4 linked regions of the Caenorhabditis elegans genome follow. The protein of the gene in region 1 purifies or fractionates together with the protein of each later gene. This does not show direct contact. Each region holds a gene or a part of one and is shown in the gene's direction. Other genes may lie near its edges. The genes, in order: marb-1, etfa-1, ctl-2 and ubc-12.

Region 1 (3,185 bases):
ACAAACATGTAATTGTACCTGATACATACAGTTTTTCCTTGCCATACTTTATTAAGTTAATCAAAAATTATTTCAAAATTATATGGACAAATTAAATATTATTAACTTTAAAAAGACTTTTAATTTTATTATTTTCCTTATTTTCTTCTTCACTTCCTTGCAACGCACTCTTTAAGTCATTCTGGAAATTTGTTTTGTTGAACTCGATCTCGAATTTAAGCAGTTCAATCATTTCGTTTTTCTGAAATTATAGTTTTAAAATTTAATTCCATGTAAGAAATCCGAACCTCTTTAATAATCTTTCTGGCTTGTACCAAATCATCAACCAACTCATTTGCATCTTCCTCCGCAAATTCCAATGATTCCAGTTTTTGGCTCAATTCCTTTATCACCTCGTTTCGCTCTTTCAGTTTTCTCTGAAGTCCACCAATTTTTGCCACAAAATCTCTTTGATGCATTCGAATTTTGATTAAATGATTGCTGATTTTACTTCTCTCTATTTTCATCTCCTTCTGGTGCTCTTTAATCATTTCCTCACTAGACTCGCACATTAATTTTAGTTGGTAATGAGCCTGCAAACGTTGTATATAAAAAAGAATGTCAAGATGCCTGCCTACATGCCTGCCTACCACCTAGCTCTATACATTTTGGCATGCATTCAGGAATTTAGTGAACCTCTAGAAAGTAAAACTGGGAAAATTTCCAAAGAAAATTTAGTTAATTTTCACCAAATTTTCGAAAGTTTTTTTTTTTAAAGTCAAACATTTTCCAATAAAATATTTCGCATTTTTTTCAAAAAAAACACATTTTCCCAAAAAAAATTCGATCCGTTCTACTGTCTATTTTAAAATTTAATAAATCTTCTCAGCTTTAAACACCTCTTAATTTTTTATGAGGGGCTCCAATAAATAGCTTGAGGGGAACACGATTATTGGAATTTACTTTTGAAATTGAGAAATTTTCAGACTCTCGAGAATTTCATTGATAATGCTAATAAAATATTCAAAAATATAAAAAAAAACAACAAAATTTACCTTTGCCTTTTCCTCAACTATTTGCAACATTAACAGAGCTACAGTAACCGCGTACAGTAACCCGAATAGAATCGGGAAATTATCCATTGAAAGTGTCATATTCCCGTCTTGAAAGATATTAGTTAACCACGACATTATAAAATAAAAAGATTGTCTTATAAGATAAGTAACAAACGAATGAATGAGCCGGTCGTCTTAGTCAACGGGTCAAGTGTTTCAGCCGCGTTCGTGAATCAATAAGAGCTGGAATTGCCTCCTGGCATTAGTGACTGTAGTCCACACTTTCTACTGCCTAAATTATCCATACAGGGCAATGTGATCAATTGATCAATAGGTTATTAAATATAACTATTTTATGCAGTGCAGTGTTTCATCCTTTTGGGAAAATTCACGGAATCAACAGGTGAATTTATGTTTTTTAGGGTGTGAACACAAATTGTTAATGTTATAATTGTCCTGGAGAGCCTTTAAACATTTTACAATTAATATATTATAAATAATACGTAGAAAATCAGTATTTGAACAGGAAAGTAGACATTTTAAAAATTTGAAATTTGAAAAACCGCCACAAACTCAAGCAACGACACTCCGAGATTACGAATCGCGCGTTGTTTACCGTAAATTTACACTAATTTTTGTTCTCTGAAATTTTTTTTTAATTGAAAAGCCGTCCATTTATTTATCTTTTTTTGTCAAATCCTTGTGTTTTACGTGGATGTTTGCATTTGTTTTTTATTTATTTAATTTCGAATCACTCAACTTTTTATTGATTTCTGTTCCTCAGGTGATGGCTGCGCGTAAGCTGATCGCACGTATCAACCCAACGAACAGTGCTCTTTTCGTCTGTGATCTTCAAGAGAAGTTCGCGTAAGTTTTGAAAGAAACTAGTTTATGAGCAAAAATAATTTATTTAATTATTTTCAGGTCAAATATCAAATACTTCCCAGAAATCATTACAACTTCGCGTAGATTGATCGATGCTGCCAGAATCCTGAGTATTCCAACCATTGTTACTGAACAATATCCAAAGGGTCTCGGACACACAGTTCCAACTCTCAAAGAAGGTCTCGCCGAGAATACTCCGATCTTTGATAAGACGAAAGTAGATTTTCAGATTTTTGTTCATAATTCAGTCTTATTCCAAAAATTTCAGTTTTCCATGTGCATTCCTCCAACTGAAGACACTTTGAAGAAAGTTCAAAATGTGATCCTTGTCGGAATCGAAGCACACGTATGCGTTCTTCAAACTACATACGATCTTTTGGAACGTGGCTTGAACGTTCATGTCGTGGTGGACGCTGTCAGCAGCCGCAGTCACACTGATCGTCATTTCGCTTTCAAACAGATGGAACAAGCTGGAGCTATCTTGACAACTTCTGAAGCTACCATTCTCGGACTTGTCGGTGGATCGGATCATCCAAAGTTCAAGGAAGTTCAGAAGTTGATCCTTACTTCAGCCCCTGATACTGGCCTCGTCCCGTTGTCGAAGCTCTAAATGTTTTCCGTTTACGGCTTCTTTTTTTGCCATGTAGATTTGTGTTTAGTACCTCACTATGTGTAATTACAGCATTTAACCGGTTTTCGTCCCATAAATTATGGTGGTAATTTGAGTCTTTTTGCAAAACGTTTCTTTCATCGCATCTCCTTGCCACCGTTTGACCATCACATCATGTTTCAAAAGTGTGGGTAAACATTCCGAAATTCGCGGAAACGAAATGCGCTTTGAAAATTTCAAGTGGCTCACACAGTAGAGCCCGCTAGTCCATTGACCTCCAATGTTTGTAGTTTGCGAAAATGATGGTGACGATGGTGCAAAGAAAACTTTCAGTTTTTTTTTTCAGAAAAGTCAGGTTTGTACAACACACATGCCACCACGTGGCAATGAAAAAGGCAGAGGCAACAAATAAATTGGAAGCAGAGACAATAAAATGGGTGGGTGATCTGATCTGTTGTGACGAACAAAATGATGATGATTGGATTCGCGAGCTGTTGATGAAATATGCAGAAATGAATCGAGAAAAAGAGAAGAAAAATACCCAAATATTCAAACAGACAGACGAAAAAAATGTTTTCCTGATTCGAGGAACGTGTTTTCTAAGTGGAACGACGGCAAAATATGGGTTGGTCAGAACGAGAGAATGAAGAAGCACA
Region 2 (4,552 bases), on another chromosome or scaffold:
AATTCATCTATAAATACTATTTCAGTTCTTCAAAAATTGTTGGTGCTGCCACTCTTGTAGTCGAGCTCAAGTACATTCATGAATGTGGACTTCGTGGAAGAGTCGAAGATGTTGTCGTTGATTTGACAATGCGTGGAAAAAGGCTGGGAATTCTTATCAACGAAGCTCTCGTTAAAATGGCAAGAAGTCTTGGAGTTTATAAACTTTCTCTGGAATGCAAAACAGAGCTTATCCCATTCTACAACAAATTCGGGTACAACGAGAACATCCATTTCATGGTTCAACGCTTCGACAAGCCAGAAATTATCACTTTGGACTAATATTTTCTCATAAATTCATCATATTTATTGTACGATAGAATTTATTTAGCTCTTAATTTCATTGAATAAAGCTGTGATATTCCTACGTATTACCTTTTTTAATATTTTCATGCCCAATGTGTCAGAAACAATTTAATATCTTTGAAATATACAAAAGGTTACGGTTTCTATGAAAAAACTTGAAACGCGTCAGCAGATCGGGAAATGCGCCAAGAGTGAGTGTAAGGCGCACGCCGCTCATTCAATCATTTATTTATTTGTTATGCAGTTCATCAAAGTTTTCAATGTTTTTCTATTTTTGAGATCATGATTGCTGTCACATCCGTTTGGACAAAATTCCGACGAGGTCTGCCTATTTACTCTTGGCCCCTCCTCGCCGCCACAATGATTTTCGTTGATTGGAATCACACTCGAGAATGGAAAGCAGCTGGAAGAGTTTCTGCTCTGGAAAAGGAGATTCTAGCAAAGCAATAATAAGTAGATAATAGTTGTAGAATAAATCTTTATTCATTCTGAATTTCAATGTCCGGTTCTCTTTCTTCTTAACGCGAAAAAGCAGTTGATGTTTTCATCGTCTGCAACTGTGCGGTACGCTGGTTTTCCTCCAAAAAGTGTTGTTTATTCTGATGAGCCATTGGCTTGATCATACTGTTTTGTGTAGTCTCGATGATTTCGGCAAATGTCAGCAATTTGTTGTCGTAGGAAGTCTTCAAAAGATGGAATGCAGTTTTGATGAGATCCTTCGAAACTGCCGGATTTCTGTACGAGAAATAAGCGAGGTGGAACAAGCTGACAGTTGTTTCAATGTAAAACGAAATAGCCAAGACGAAGTAGGATACAGCGACTGAAGTGAACGCCGAAATCATTTTTTCATAACTTGGTCCATTTTCAACAGCGGTTGCAGTGCCTGAAAGGATCGGTATTCATCGAAGCTTCGGCATAATACAACTTACTCAATGCAGTACGAGTAGACGCTTTTCCACGAGATCTGAGAGTCGAATTGATAGCAGTGTTTAGCTCGGAATCGCTCATCGGTGGGATGACGGCAGTGTTGGTCTCTGACTGCGCAGTACGGCTGTCGACGGAAGTTGCCATTCTTGATTCGATAGGCGTTGCTTGAAAACCTTTCGAGTTGTTGAGACTGAGCGAAAGACGAGAAGTGATTCTGTTTGAATTTGTGAGCAACGAAACCCTTTATCTGATTGTAATCGAGAATAATCGGCTGTCACGCATAATACCTTTTTTAATTTATAAAATTAAATGCGGAAATATATTTTATGATTTTCACGTTACACATTAGGAAAACCTTTTATCAAGTTTTTATTTAAATTAATTTTGGCAATTTCTACCCGCGCGCGTACTTTGACCCATCATTTTCTTGTTTTTCTTTTCTATCTCGGTCTCTCTGTATCTATCTCTCACCCATCCTTCTTATCATTTTCTTTATTTTCTTGGTGTAGTGCCCGTTTTTTTCAATCGTTCCACGTAAATTTGTTGTTCTTTTAATGTTTTTTTTTTCTTTTAAACGTTTTTTTTTATTTATGATATTTTCAGCCGAAATGCTCTCTGCAAGAACTGTCCTTAGCCGTGCTGGCTTGATCAGCAATGTAAGTTTTTTGTGAGAATCAGCTGTGGGTATATGATTTTTCGATTTCCAAGGTTTTCGAATTGAATATTCAGTAAATGACTCATAAATTAATTCCATAAATTGAAGAATAGAATTATAAAAAATATTAAATTACAGGCCTCCCGTCTGAACAGCACTCTTGTTGTCGCCGAGCACGATGAGACAAAGCTTGCTCCAATCACTCTCAATGCTATCACTGCTGCTTCTAAAGTGAGTACAGACGGAATTAAAAAAATATATTTATAAATTGTATAATTTTCAAGCGAATCGCAATGCAAAATGTGATCTATGATCATTGTTCCCTCCAAGTATTAGTTGTAGTCATGTTTCGAATCTTGTTAGTTATTTACAAGAGTACAGACCCTATTTTGTAGCGCGCTTCCAACTATTTTAACTAATTTTATTTCAGCTCGGAAATGAAGTATCTGTCCTCGTCACTGGAGCCAACGCAACAAAGGTTGCTGAACAAGTTGCAAAAGTGAATGGAGTGAAAAGAGTTCTTGTGGCTCAAGATGAGAAGCTGAAGAATAATCTTCCAGGTAATATAAACCGAATTAATTTTTCTATTATGCTCGTATTTTCAGAACGAGTGGCTCCAGTTATTCTTGCTTCTCAAAAACAATTCAATTTCACCGCCATCACCGCTGGATCTTCAGCATTCGGACGTGGAGTTATTCCAAGAGTCGCCGCTAAGCTTGACGTATCTTCAATCTCTGACGTCACTGAAGTTCATTCGGCTGACAGTTTCACTCGCACTTTGTATGCTGGTAATGCAGTTAAAAAAGTGAAGAGCACCGCACCGATCAAGCTTCTCACCTTCCGTGGAACATCGTTCGAACCAGCAAAGGAAGGAGGAAGCGGCGCTGTTGAAAATGGTAACATAGAAAATCGTTTTATCCAGATGCGAAGATGCGAAGGATTTTGCTCCAAGAATAAGGTACCTGCTCTCGAAGCGGCAGTTTTACTCGAACTCGAATAAGTGTATGGCTTTTAAGGGGTACTGTAGTTTTTACTTGTTAGCGGATTTTCTGAGATTTTCCGAGTTTTTCTTCTGTTTCTTCAAAGTTTGAAATTTTAAAATGTTAAAAACGGACGAAAACTTCAAAAAAAAAGTCGAAGAAAAGCTTGCAACAACCAACTACAGTAGCCCTCAAAGACGCAAACACATTTTCATTTAAGAAAATCTGCCGCTTAGAGACCGGGTGCCGTATTAGAGATAAAATCGCAAAATATCGCATCTGGGTAATATATGAAAGAAAGTACGTAAAAATTTGCCTGAAAAACGAACCCCCAGAAACTGGCCGAGCCTACTTTTCTTGTTTATTTTTATTTTTTATGACTGAGTAGGACAATTCGAGACAGTTATCCCACAATTGATAGTCCACATTTAATCCTGATCTTTGTCAAAAGTCTTTATTCAGCCCCATCCGCTGATATCAAAACCGACCTCAGCGAATTCCTTGGCCAAGAATTGAGCAAGTCTGAACGTCCTGATCTTGCAACTGCCAAAGTCGTCGTTTCTGGAGGACGTGGATTGAAGAGTGGAGACAATTTCAAGCTCATCTATGATCTTGCTGATAAGCTCGGAGCCGGAGTCGGAGCATCCCGTGCCGCTGTTGATGCTGGATACGTACCAAATGACATGCAAGTCGGTCAGACTGGAAAGATTGTAGCGCCGGTAAGAAATCCATTAAGTGAGAAGCAAAGAAAAATGAATTAATTTATAGGAACTCTACATTGCAATCGGAATTTCTGGAGCCATTCAACATTTGGCTGGAATGAAGGACTCAAAGGTGATTGTCGCCATCAACAAGGATCCTGATGCACCAATTTTCCAGGTAAAAATTGAATTTAACACAAAATTGTTAATTCTAAATAATTCAGGTCGCTGATATTGGATTGAAAGCCGATTTGTTCAAGGCCGTCCCAGAACTGACTGCTGCTCTTCCATGAATACCTTCAAATAGCCTAATGTAGATGTGTCTTCTAAATTATTGTATTCTATTTAGTAACTCGGTTTATCGGGATATTGTGATTTTCGTTTTTATGCTTTCAATGTGAATAAACAGCCAAATCTGTTTTATGAGCGTTATCACGCGATTCATAAAGAACAATTGAGAAGAGCAACACTGGAGAAAACCGAAATGAGAATTTTGTATCAAATATCATATTCACAAGAAGCACGGAAACAACGAGAAAATGCGAGACAAGTGAGGTGACGAATTGATAGATAAATACTGGAAAATTTGAAACATTCCTGGTGATGGTTTTGTGATTGGGAAATTACTCTTCTATTAATCAAAACGAGATACCCGCTGCGGGATGCAAAAAAAAGCGAATGGGGAGGATTGGGGGGAACAAGAAACTGAAAGATTTCTCAAATTTTTGAAGAATAAAAATGATGAAACTGATGGGCTGGAATAACAAAGAGATCGACAAAAAAGTCCGACGCAGCAGAGAACATTATGAGAATTTCATTTTAAAATGGACGGCGATTGAAAAAAAAAGAAACAACGAATATTTAAAACGGAAAGTTGGACCTGTATTAGAATGCGAAAAGGCCAAACATAAAAACAATATTTTTCAAAAAAGAAAAAATGGATCC
Region 3 (4,732 bases), on another chromosome or scaffold:
GAAAGTGCTCAAGGAGGAGGAGAGAGATCGGCTCGTTGGGAATTTGGCTAGTGATTTGGGTGGCTGTTTGGAGGAAATTCAAAATGGAATGGTCAAAGAGTTCACGAAAGTTCATCCGGATTTCGGAAATGCTCTTCGCCATCAGCTCTGCCAGAAGAAGCATTAAATTGTTTGATATTCAAACTTTTGTATATAGAATCTCGTTATTTATAAACTCTTTTTTTTGTATTTCTTCTGGTTTTTGATGATAAGAAATTTTATGTGCACATAAATCAAAAAAGCCGGAAATTAAATAGCGTTTTATCAGGCAGAAAATTGGCCACGTGACGTCATCATTTTCCTGTTTGAAGAAAATCTGGAAAATTTTTTGTTTCAGTCAATTTTTAAAGATGAAAACTTAAGTTAGACTGTAAAAGCAATTTTCGCGCCAAAATTACGGTATCGGGTCTCGAAACGACAGTTTTTTATCTATTGCGAAAATATGTGCGCCTTTAAAGAGTACTGTAGTTGCAAACTTTTGTCGCTGTGGAGTTTTTATCGATTTTTTATATTTTTTCGATGAAAACAACTCAAATATAACAATAAAAACACAAAATTAAAAAAAAAATCGATAAAAAATCCGCGTCAACGAAAGTTTAAAGTTACAGTATTTGTCGTTTCGAGACCGGGTACCGTAGTTTTTGGTGAAAACATTGCAAAATTTGGTCAACAATTTCATCGCTGCGAGACCGACACAACACTTTATTTTATTTTTGGGTTTCCCTTATCGCTTATCATAAACATGTGACGTCATCATCTCTTGTACAGAGCACCGCGACTGGGAGTATAAGAATCGCCGGAAAACATCAATAATCAGTTCGGTAGAAGTGAAAATTGAGCGTAAAATATGATCATTTTTCGATGCACCATATTTGACGCGCAATACTTCTACAAGCCGCTGTGTACTGCTCGTGGACAACTTTGGATTATTTTTTGTTTTTAAAATTCAAAATAGTCAATATATTGCTTATTTATAGCGCGCCTTTTTGACAGTAAGTTTGTCAAATTTGCGCGTAAGTTATGGTGTTTGCACATATGCACCATACAGCAACACCCCGCGGCCCGGCTAGTGGTACATCCATGCAAATGCGCTCTACTGATAATTTGAGTTTAACCAGGTTTAGGCGCAAGATAAGAAAAAAGCTTTGGACCAAAAAATTTAGAGTTTATTTTTTTCGGACATTTTTTATATACATCACAAAAATATTGGGCCACTCGTTTTTGATAAAAACGACAAGCCCAAAAGTTCAGGTATACGGTAGACAAATTGCGTACAGGTACCACTTTTCCACGTAGTGCCAGGTTGTCCCATTACGCTTTGATCTATGAAAAATGCGGGAATTTTTCGTCCAGAAAAATGTGACGTCAGCACGTTCTCAACCATGCGAAATCAGTTGAAAACTCTGCGTCTATTCTCCCGCATTTTTTGTAGATCTGTAGATTTGTAGATCAATCCATTCCCCGTATACCCTGACCCATAATCAATACCTACCTAATTTTTGTCTTTCCCCCTACTTTTTTGCCTGTCCAAAATAAGCGAGACTATGCCGTAGTCTGGTGTCCAACAACATGTTCCTTATCAGTGATAACGCTACAATCTTCTTTCTTTTTTCTCTGTTTCTCTTGTCTCTCCCAACCCATATTCCGTATTACACCTCGTCGTGGTCATTTTTTTGTTCAGAGTTTTATTTAATTCTAAATTTCCTAACTAAAATTTCAGAACCAAAATGCCAAACGATCCATCGGATAATCAACTGAAAACCTACAAGGAGACGTATCCAGTGAGTTTAGAGTTTAAAGGCACAGACGCATTTTCTACAACAACAACTACTATTTACAGTAACTTGTTTCAGAAACCCCAAGTGATCACAACTTCAAATGGAGCTCCGATCTACTCGAAGACCGCCGTGCTCACCGCCGGGCGGCGTGGCCCAATGCTCATGCAAGATGTAGTTTATATGGATGAGATGGCTCATTTCGATCGTGAACGTATCCCCGAGCGTGTCGTTCATGCCAAGGGAGCCGGAGCCCATGGATACTTCGAGGTCACCCATGACATCTCCAAGTACTGTAAGGCCGATATCTTCAACAAGGTCGGGAAGCAGACCCCACTGCTAATTAGATTCTCTACAGTCGGTGGTGAGAGCGGATCCGCCGACACCGCTCGTGATCCACGTGGATTTGCGATCAAGTTCTACACCGAGGAGGGAAACTGGGATCTGGTTGGAAATAACACTCCGATCTTCTTCATCCGTGACCCTATCCACTTCCCGAACTTTATCCATACCCAGAAGCGTAATCCACAGACTCACCTGAAGGATCCCAACATGATCTTTGACTTCTGGCTTCATAGACCAGAGGCTTTGCATCAAGTGATGTTCCTGTTTTCCGATCGAGGACTCCCAGATGGGTACCGTCATATGAATGGATACGGATCCCATACATTCAAGATGGTTAACAAGGACGGAAAGGCTATCTATGTGAAATTCCATTTCAAGGTGGGTCCTTAATGTTATTTAAATTTTTCGGTCTATAATTTCCAACTTCAGCCAACTCAAGGAGTGAAGAATCTCACCGTGGAGAAGGCCGGTCAACTTGCCTCTTCGGACCCAGACTATTCCATCCGTGACCTGTTCAATGCTATTGAGAAGGGAGACTTTCCAGTATGGAAGATGTTCATTCAAGTGATGACATTCGAACAAGCTGAGAAATGGGAGTTCAATCCATTTGATGTCACTAAAGTTTGGCCACACGGTGATTACCCACTGATCGAGGTCGGCAAGATGGTGCTGAACAGAAATCCAAGGAACTACTTCGCTGAGGTAATGGGCTGGGCTTGACCGCCTAGTTGCGCGCTAAGGTGGCCTAGTCGGTCCCTTTTCTACTCGGACTGTTTCTATACCGGAGAGCTTGCGGTACGGTAGTCTCGTAGGATTGTGTTTTGGTACTGTACAGAGCCAAAGTTTTTTGGGGTTACCACAGAAAGAGAGCAGGTTCTTCTCATTCACCACAACTATTACTATTCGAGTCAGGGTGGTACAGAAGCTAGGTGAGTGCAAACGTGCTCTACCGAACGAGTAAATTTTCTTGCGGCCATTTTTCATATGCATCGCAAAATCCAAATTTGGGTTAGTTTTCGAGATAGCAGCCAATACAGGTTTTTAGACTGATTATCATGAACCAAGCCATCTAGTTTCTGTGCTACCGTGTGAAGTGTGGTAAGGCATGCAATTGCGCTCTAACGAGAAACTAGGGCCCATAAGACGGAATTGATAGCTCTCACGTGGTGCCAGACTGTCCCATTATGGTTTGTTTTTTTTTTATCAACAAAAAATGCGGGAATTTTTTTTGCACAAAAAATGAGACTTCAGCAAGTTCTTAACCATGCGAAATCAGTTGAAAACCTTGCGTCTCTTCTCCCGCATTTTTTGTAGATCAAAGTAGATCAAGCCGAAATGAGACACTCTGACACCACGTGAGTTCAACGTGAATAGCTAGTTTTGGGAAACACAAAAACGTTTTTCCAAAACTACAGTAATCCTACAGTACTTTATTTCCAGGTTGAACAATCCGCCTTCTGCCCGGCCCACATCGTCCCAGGAATCGAGTTCTCGCCAGACAAGATGCTCCAAGGACGTATCTTCTCGTACACCGACACTCATTTCCACCGCCTTGGACCAAACTACATCCAGCTTCCAGTCAACTGCCCGTACCGCTCCCGTGCTCATAACACCCAGCGTGATGGTGCAATGGCTTATGACAATCAGCAACATGCTCCAAACTTCTTCCCGAACAGCTTCAACTATGGAAAGACTCGTCCGGATGTCAAGGATACCACATTCCCAGCCACTGGAGATGTTGATCGTTATGAAAGTGGAGATGACAACAACTATGATCAACCCCGTCAATTCTGGGAGAAGGTGTTGGATACCGGGGCTCGGGAGAGAATGTGCCAGAACTTTGCAGGGCCGCTCGGGGAATGTCATGATTTCATTATTAAGGGAATGATCGATCACTTTTCAAAGGTTCATCCAGATTTTGGAGCTCGTGTCAAGGCACTCATCCAGAAACAGGCTCGCTCTCATATCTAAACTTTCTTGAAATTAAAAGAAATTAAATGTACTTTTTATTGTAATAACTTGCTTTATTGTGTATAAAAAATATGATAATTAAAAATAAATAAAGTTAATATAACTTAAACTCTCCACCAACTCACAGCGGATGTAAAGCTCTAAACTTATCAGCAAGCCTCTGGCCCAACAGCGAGTCATGCTTCAGGGTCTCCCTCTCCACCAGCAGCTCAGGCGTCAAAGCCCAATTCTTGGGATCCTTGCTCAGAATGCAAGACTGTATCAGTGTCTGAACGAAAAGGTCCCGCTGGGCATGAGATCCTCCGATTTGGACAACTTTATCGCGAATTGGGTACATAGTCTCGGCAGCTGTGTCGTAGTCGCAGCGGGCAAAGTCAAGCATCCCGTCGTAGAGGGGCATCCCGATGGTCTTGCTGATTTGGGCATTGTCCTCGGATAGCAGCCTGAAAAATGATAGTTTGATATGTGGTAAGTTTGACCTAGGAGCTGATTATCACATCTAATTCCACATATCCTAACACCTTTCGATACAACGTTTTTAAATTTTCGCCAATCACGGTTTGATCTACAAAAAATGCGGGAAATTTTCCCTAAAAAATGTG
Region 4 (3,004 bases), on another chromosome or scaffold:
ACAGACGATTCTGAAAGAGATATTGCGTTAGAAATCATGAAGCTCGGGCTGGCTGGGAGAGTTACCTGACGTTGTTGATTTGTCCGATGCTGCTGAAGAAGTTTCCAAGCTCCTCCTCGGTGGTCTGGAATGGAGCGTTTCCAACTAAAAAAAAGGAAAATTTTAATTGATTTAAATATTTCGCAACCAAATTTGAATCTAAACACTTAAAATTGCCTTTTCAAATGAAAATATTAGGGAAAACTTCGCGAATTCGATTTTTCCGAAAAATCCCAAAATTTCAGGACAATATCGAGTTTTATTGGCTATTTTAACCAGTTTCCGATTGTTTAATACTTAAAATAAATTATTAAAAAACTAACCGTAAACAGAGAAGATTCCAGACATGACGATTTTAGGCCGTAGCAGAAAATTTATGACGGTTTAATTTTTCCGCTCACCCTGCCTTGGAGAAAACGTGCGGCAGTTGCGTAAAAACCGTGCCAGGGTTGCGTTTTGGCCCCGCCCCTCGAATAGCATCGATTTCGACAGATTTTTTCCATTTCAAGCTGAAAATATGAGGAATTAGTCCAAAATAAGACCGCGAAGAGTGTTGAAACTTGAATTTTCAGTTGTAAGCTCACATTGGGCTGCGCATAGCCCAGGATTCAAAACTTGCTCGAACCGAAGCCGTTCCTTCAAGCTTCTAGCCTCAACGCTTGCCATCAGATTGACCCCAAATGAAGATTCGAAATAAAAAAATAGAGCATATATATTTATGATAACGATTTCATGGGTTTATTATTATTGAGATCATTAAAGATCAAACAAGTAACAAAGTACCGATATGAAAATTAGTTGTTTCTGTTTTGAGCCAAGTTGACGCGTAGAGCTCTTCCGTTGAAATCGACTCCGTTGAATTGGTCGACGGCTCTCTGGGCAGCGGCCTCCTCGGTGAACTCGACGAAGGCGAATCCACGTGGACGTCCGGTCTCGCGGTCGCAAACGATTCTGAAAATAGAGATTCATATTGAGAGTTAACGGGTCGTCGTTCAGGAGGTTTCGGGAAGAGGAGATTTCGGGGAGAGAAGCTTACCTGACGTTGCTGACGTTTCCAGCCTGGCTGAAGTAGTTGCCAAGGTCGTCCTCGGTAGTTTGGAATGGAGCGTTTCCGACTGAAAAATGCATTAAAATTATTAAAAACTCAAATTATCTCAGCCTAATCAAATACAATAAATAGAAAAACGCCTGGAGAAAAATAAAAATTTTAGGCCAGACTTTAAATTCGGCTTTTCTCGATTAAAATCTGCTTTTAAAGCTGAATATTCCAGTTTTCTACTTGAATAATTTACAATTAACAAAACTAACCGTAAACAGAGAATCCAGACATGACGATTTTAGGCCGGAGCGTAAATATGTGTGATTCGAATCGTTTTCGCTTGCCTCCTCCGACTCGTGGGAAACCGTGCGGCACTTGCGGTAAAAGTGTGCCAGCCTTGCGTTCGCGCTCCGCCCCCTTTAGTCATTTCAGCGTTAGCAAACGCTGCGTCTTTTATTCCTCATTCTCTGTCATTTTTCATAGCAATTGTTTCATTTTCTCACGTAATTTGTCGTTTTTTCGCTGAATTACAAGATTTTCATCGATTTTTGACCCTTTTACACTGTAATTTTGCCAAAAAAACGATTATTTTCTCTATGTTTCCGTATGCGCCGCCTATATCGCTGAAAATTATCGTATTTCTTAATTTTTCGCTTTCAGAATGTTCAATCTTCAAAAACGAATCAACGGCAACAACGAGGACGGTCGGTATCTTGAAACCCGCATCGCCGTCCGTGACAAGCTCCTAGCTCAGGGTATGTGGCTGCTTTATAAAAAATTTTGATTTTACAACATTTTCAGAACTCCAACAGCTGGAGACTGCTCTTCGCGATCAGAAGCAAAAGCTGTGGCATCTCGAGGTCCCATCAACATCGTGTCTTCATGAGTTGGAACTCACCGTGACACCTCAAGAAGGAATCTATCGTGGAGGCAAATTCCGATTCAAGATCACCGTCCCGCCAGAGTACAACAACGTGCCGCCCGTTGTTAAGTGCCTGACAAAGGTTTGGCATCCAAATATCAACGAGGACGGATCGATTTGTCTATCGATTTTGCGTCAAAACTCGTTGGATCAATACGGATGGCGTCCAACGCGTAACCTCACCGACGTCGTCCACGGACTCGTCTCACTGTTCAACGATCTTATGGACTTCAACGACGCGCTGAACATTCAAGCCGCCCAGATGTGGAGTCAGAATCGCGAATCGTTCAATCATCGTGTTCGGGAATACATTTCTAGATATTGCTAAGGACCAACGGATCGGATTACAAATGGCCTGTGAATTGACCCCCCCTATGAAATTGATTTTGATTCTAACTTTTCCCCCACCTCTCAGACTTTTTCTAACTGTACTTTTTGAAAGAAATAAAATTTATTCTTGAGAAATTTGAGAACTTAAGAAGAGAAGAGAAAATCGAATAAATTAAACAAGTTAAAGAGATTTGGTGGATAAAATAGAACAGAGTCTGAAGGAATTAAATTAGATTGGCTTGATCTTGAAGTGAAGGCCAATGAGCGAGAAGACGAGGCACTTGAGATCCTGAACGAGATAGTAGAACGAGCGGAGACCATCCGGATCTTTCGAGTTGTTCACATCGGCTAGAGCTCCGATTTTGCCGGTCGTAAACGAGATGTGCTCGTTTTTGTACAGAATTTCCAGCTCCTGGCGTCCAATCTTGTCTGGTTCTGGCCAATTGTCATCGTCCTCCTGCATGATTTCCGAGTCTTCGATGATACGCTTGAGCTCGCTGAGCACCGATTCCGACACTGTCGCCTCTTTGCGGATCATCGTGTCATTCTTGTAGTTGGAGTTGTTCGCGTAGCGAAGCGATCCGTTTGGACGGAATTCGAATTCGAGAAATTCGTGACCGAATTTTCCCTGAAAATTGTTTCGTAAACTAATTTAAATTGGCGAAAATTGTCAT

Evidence for each region.
Region 2: the proteins of marb-1 (region 1) and etfa-1 fractionate together in Caenorhabditis elegans (co-fractionation; one large-scale study listed by BioGRID). This does not show direct contact.
Region 3: the proteins of marb-1 (region 1) and ctl-2 fractionate together in Caenorhabditis elegans (co-fractionation; one large-scale study listed by BioGRID). This does not show direct contact.
Region 4: the proteins of marb-1 (region 1) and ubc-12 fractionate together in Caenorhabditis elegans (co-fractionation; one large-scale study listed by BioGRID). This does not show direct contact.

Annotation. Positions count from the first base shown.
Region 1 is NC_003282.8:12,207,644-12,210,828, reverse strand, and holds marb-1 (Isochorismatase domain-containing protein 1), read left to right. Parts: upstream 1-1,818; 5' UTR 1,819-1,821; coding exon 1,822-1,901; intron 1,902-1,958; coding exon 1,959-2,136; intron 2,137-2,187; coding exon 2,188-2,529; 3' UTR 2,530-2,641; downstream 2,642-3,185. Other genes in the region: F35G2.3 (uncharacterized protein), read right to left, coding at 92-241, 288-572, 1,035-1,121.
Region 2 is NC_003279.8:7,700,555-7,705,106, forward strand, and holds etfa-1 (putative electron transfer flavoprotein subunit alpha, mitochondrial), read left to right. Parts: upstream 1-1,874; 5' UTR 1,875-1,879; coding exon 1,880-1,927; intron 1,928-2,064; coding exon 2,065-2,157; intron 2,158-2,356; coding exon 2,357-2,486; intron 2,487-2,531; coding exon 2,532-2,822; intron 2,823-3,368; coding exon 3,369-3,625; intron 3,626-3,674; coding exon 3,675-3,785; intron 3,786-3,831; coding exon 3,832-3,900; 3' UTR 3,901-4,035; downstream 4,036-4,552. Other genes in the region: gna-2 (glucosamine-phosphate N-acetyltransferase), read left to right, coding at 26-320; T23G11.11 (uncharacterized protein), read left to right, coding at 627-794; T23G11.1 (uncharacterized protein), read right to left, coding at 863-1,227, 1,274-1,415.
Region 3 is NC_003280.10:14,299,055-14,303,786, reverse strand, and holds ctl-2 (Peroxisomal catalase 1), read left to right. Parts: upstream 1-1,759; 5' UTR 1,760-1,766; coding exon 1,767-1,820; intron 1,821-1,892; coding exon 1,893-2,537; intron 2,538-2,588; coding exon 2,589-2,861; intron 2,862-3,599; coding exon 3,600-4,130; 3' UTR 4,131-4,231; downstream 4,232-4,732. Other genes in the region: ctl-1 (Catalase-2), read left to right, coding at 1-166; Y54G11A.7 (Tetratricopeptide repeat protein 38), read right to left, coding at 4,252-4,573.
Region 4 is NC_003279.8:11,909,588-11,912,591, forward strand, and holds ubc-12 (NEDD8-conjugating enzyme ubc-12), read left to right. Parts: upstream 1-1,732; 5' UTR 1,733-1,739; coding exon 1,740-1,833; intron 1,834-1,879; coding exon 1,880-2,328; 3' UTR 2,329-2,466; downstream 2,467-3,004. Other genes in the region: rbm-3.1 (RRM domain-containing protein), read right to left, coding at 1-10, 66-144, 363-387; rbm-3.2 (RRM domain-containing protein), read right to left, coding at 834-990, 1,076-1,154, 1,348-1,369; mag-1 (Protein mago nashi homolog), read right to left, coding at 2,560-2,958. UniProt on the Caenorhabditis elegans protein: Accepts the ubiquitin-like protein NEDD8 from the uba-3-ula-1 E1 complex and catalyzes its covalent attachment to other proteins. Plays a role in male tail tip morphogenesis.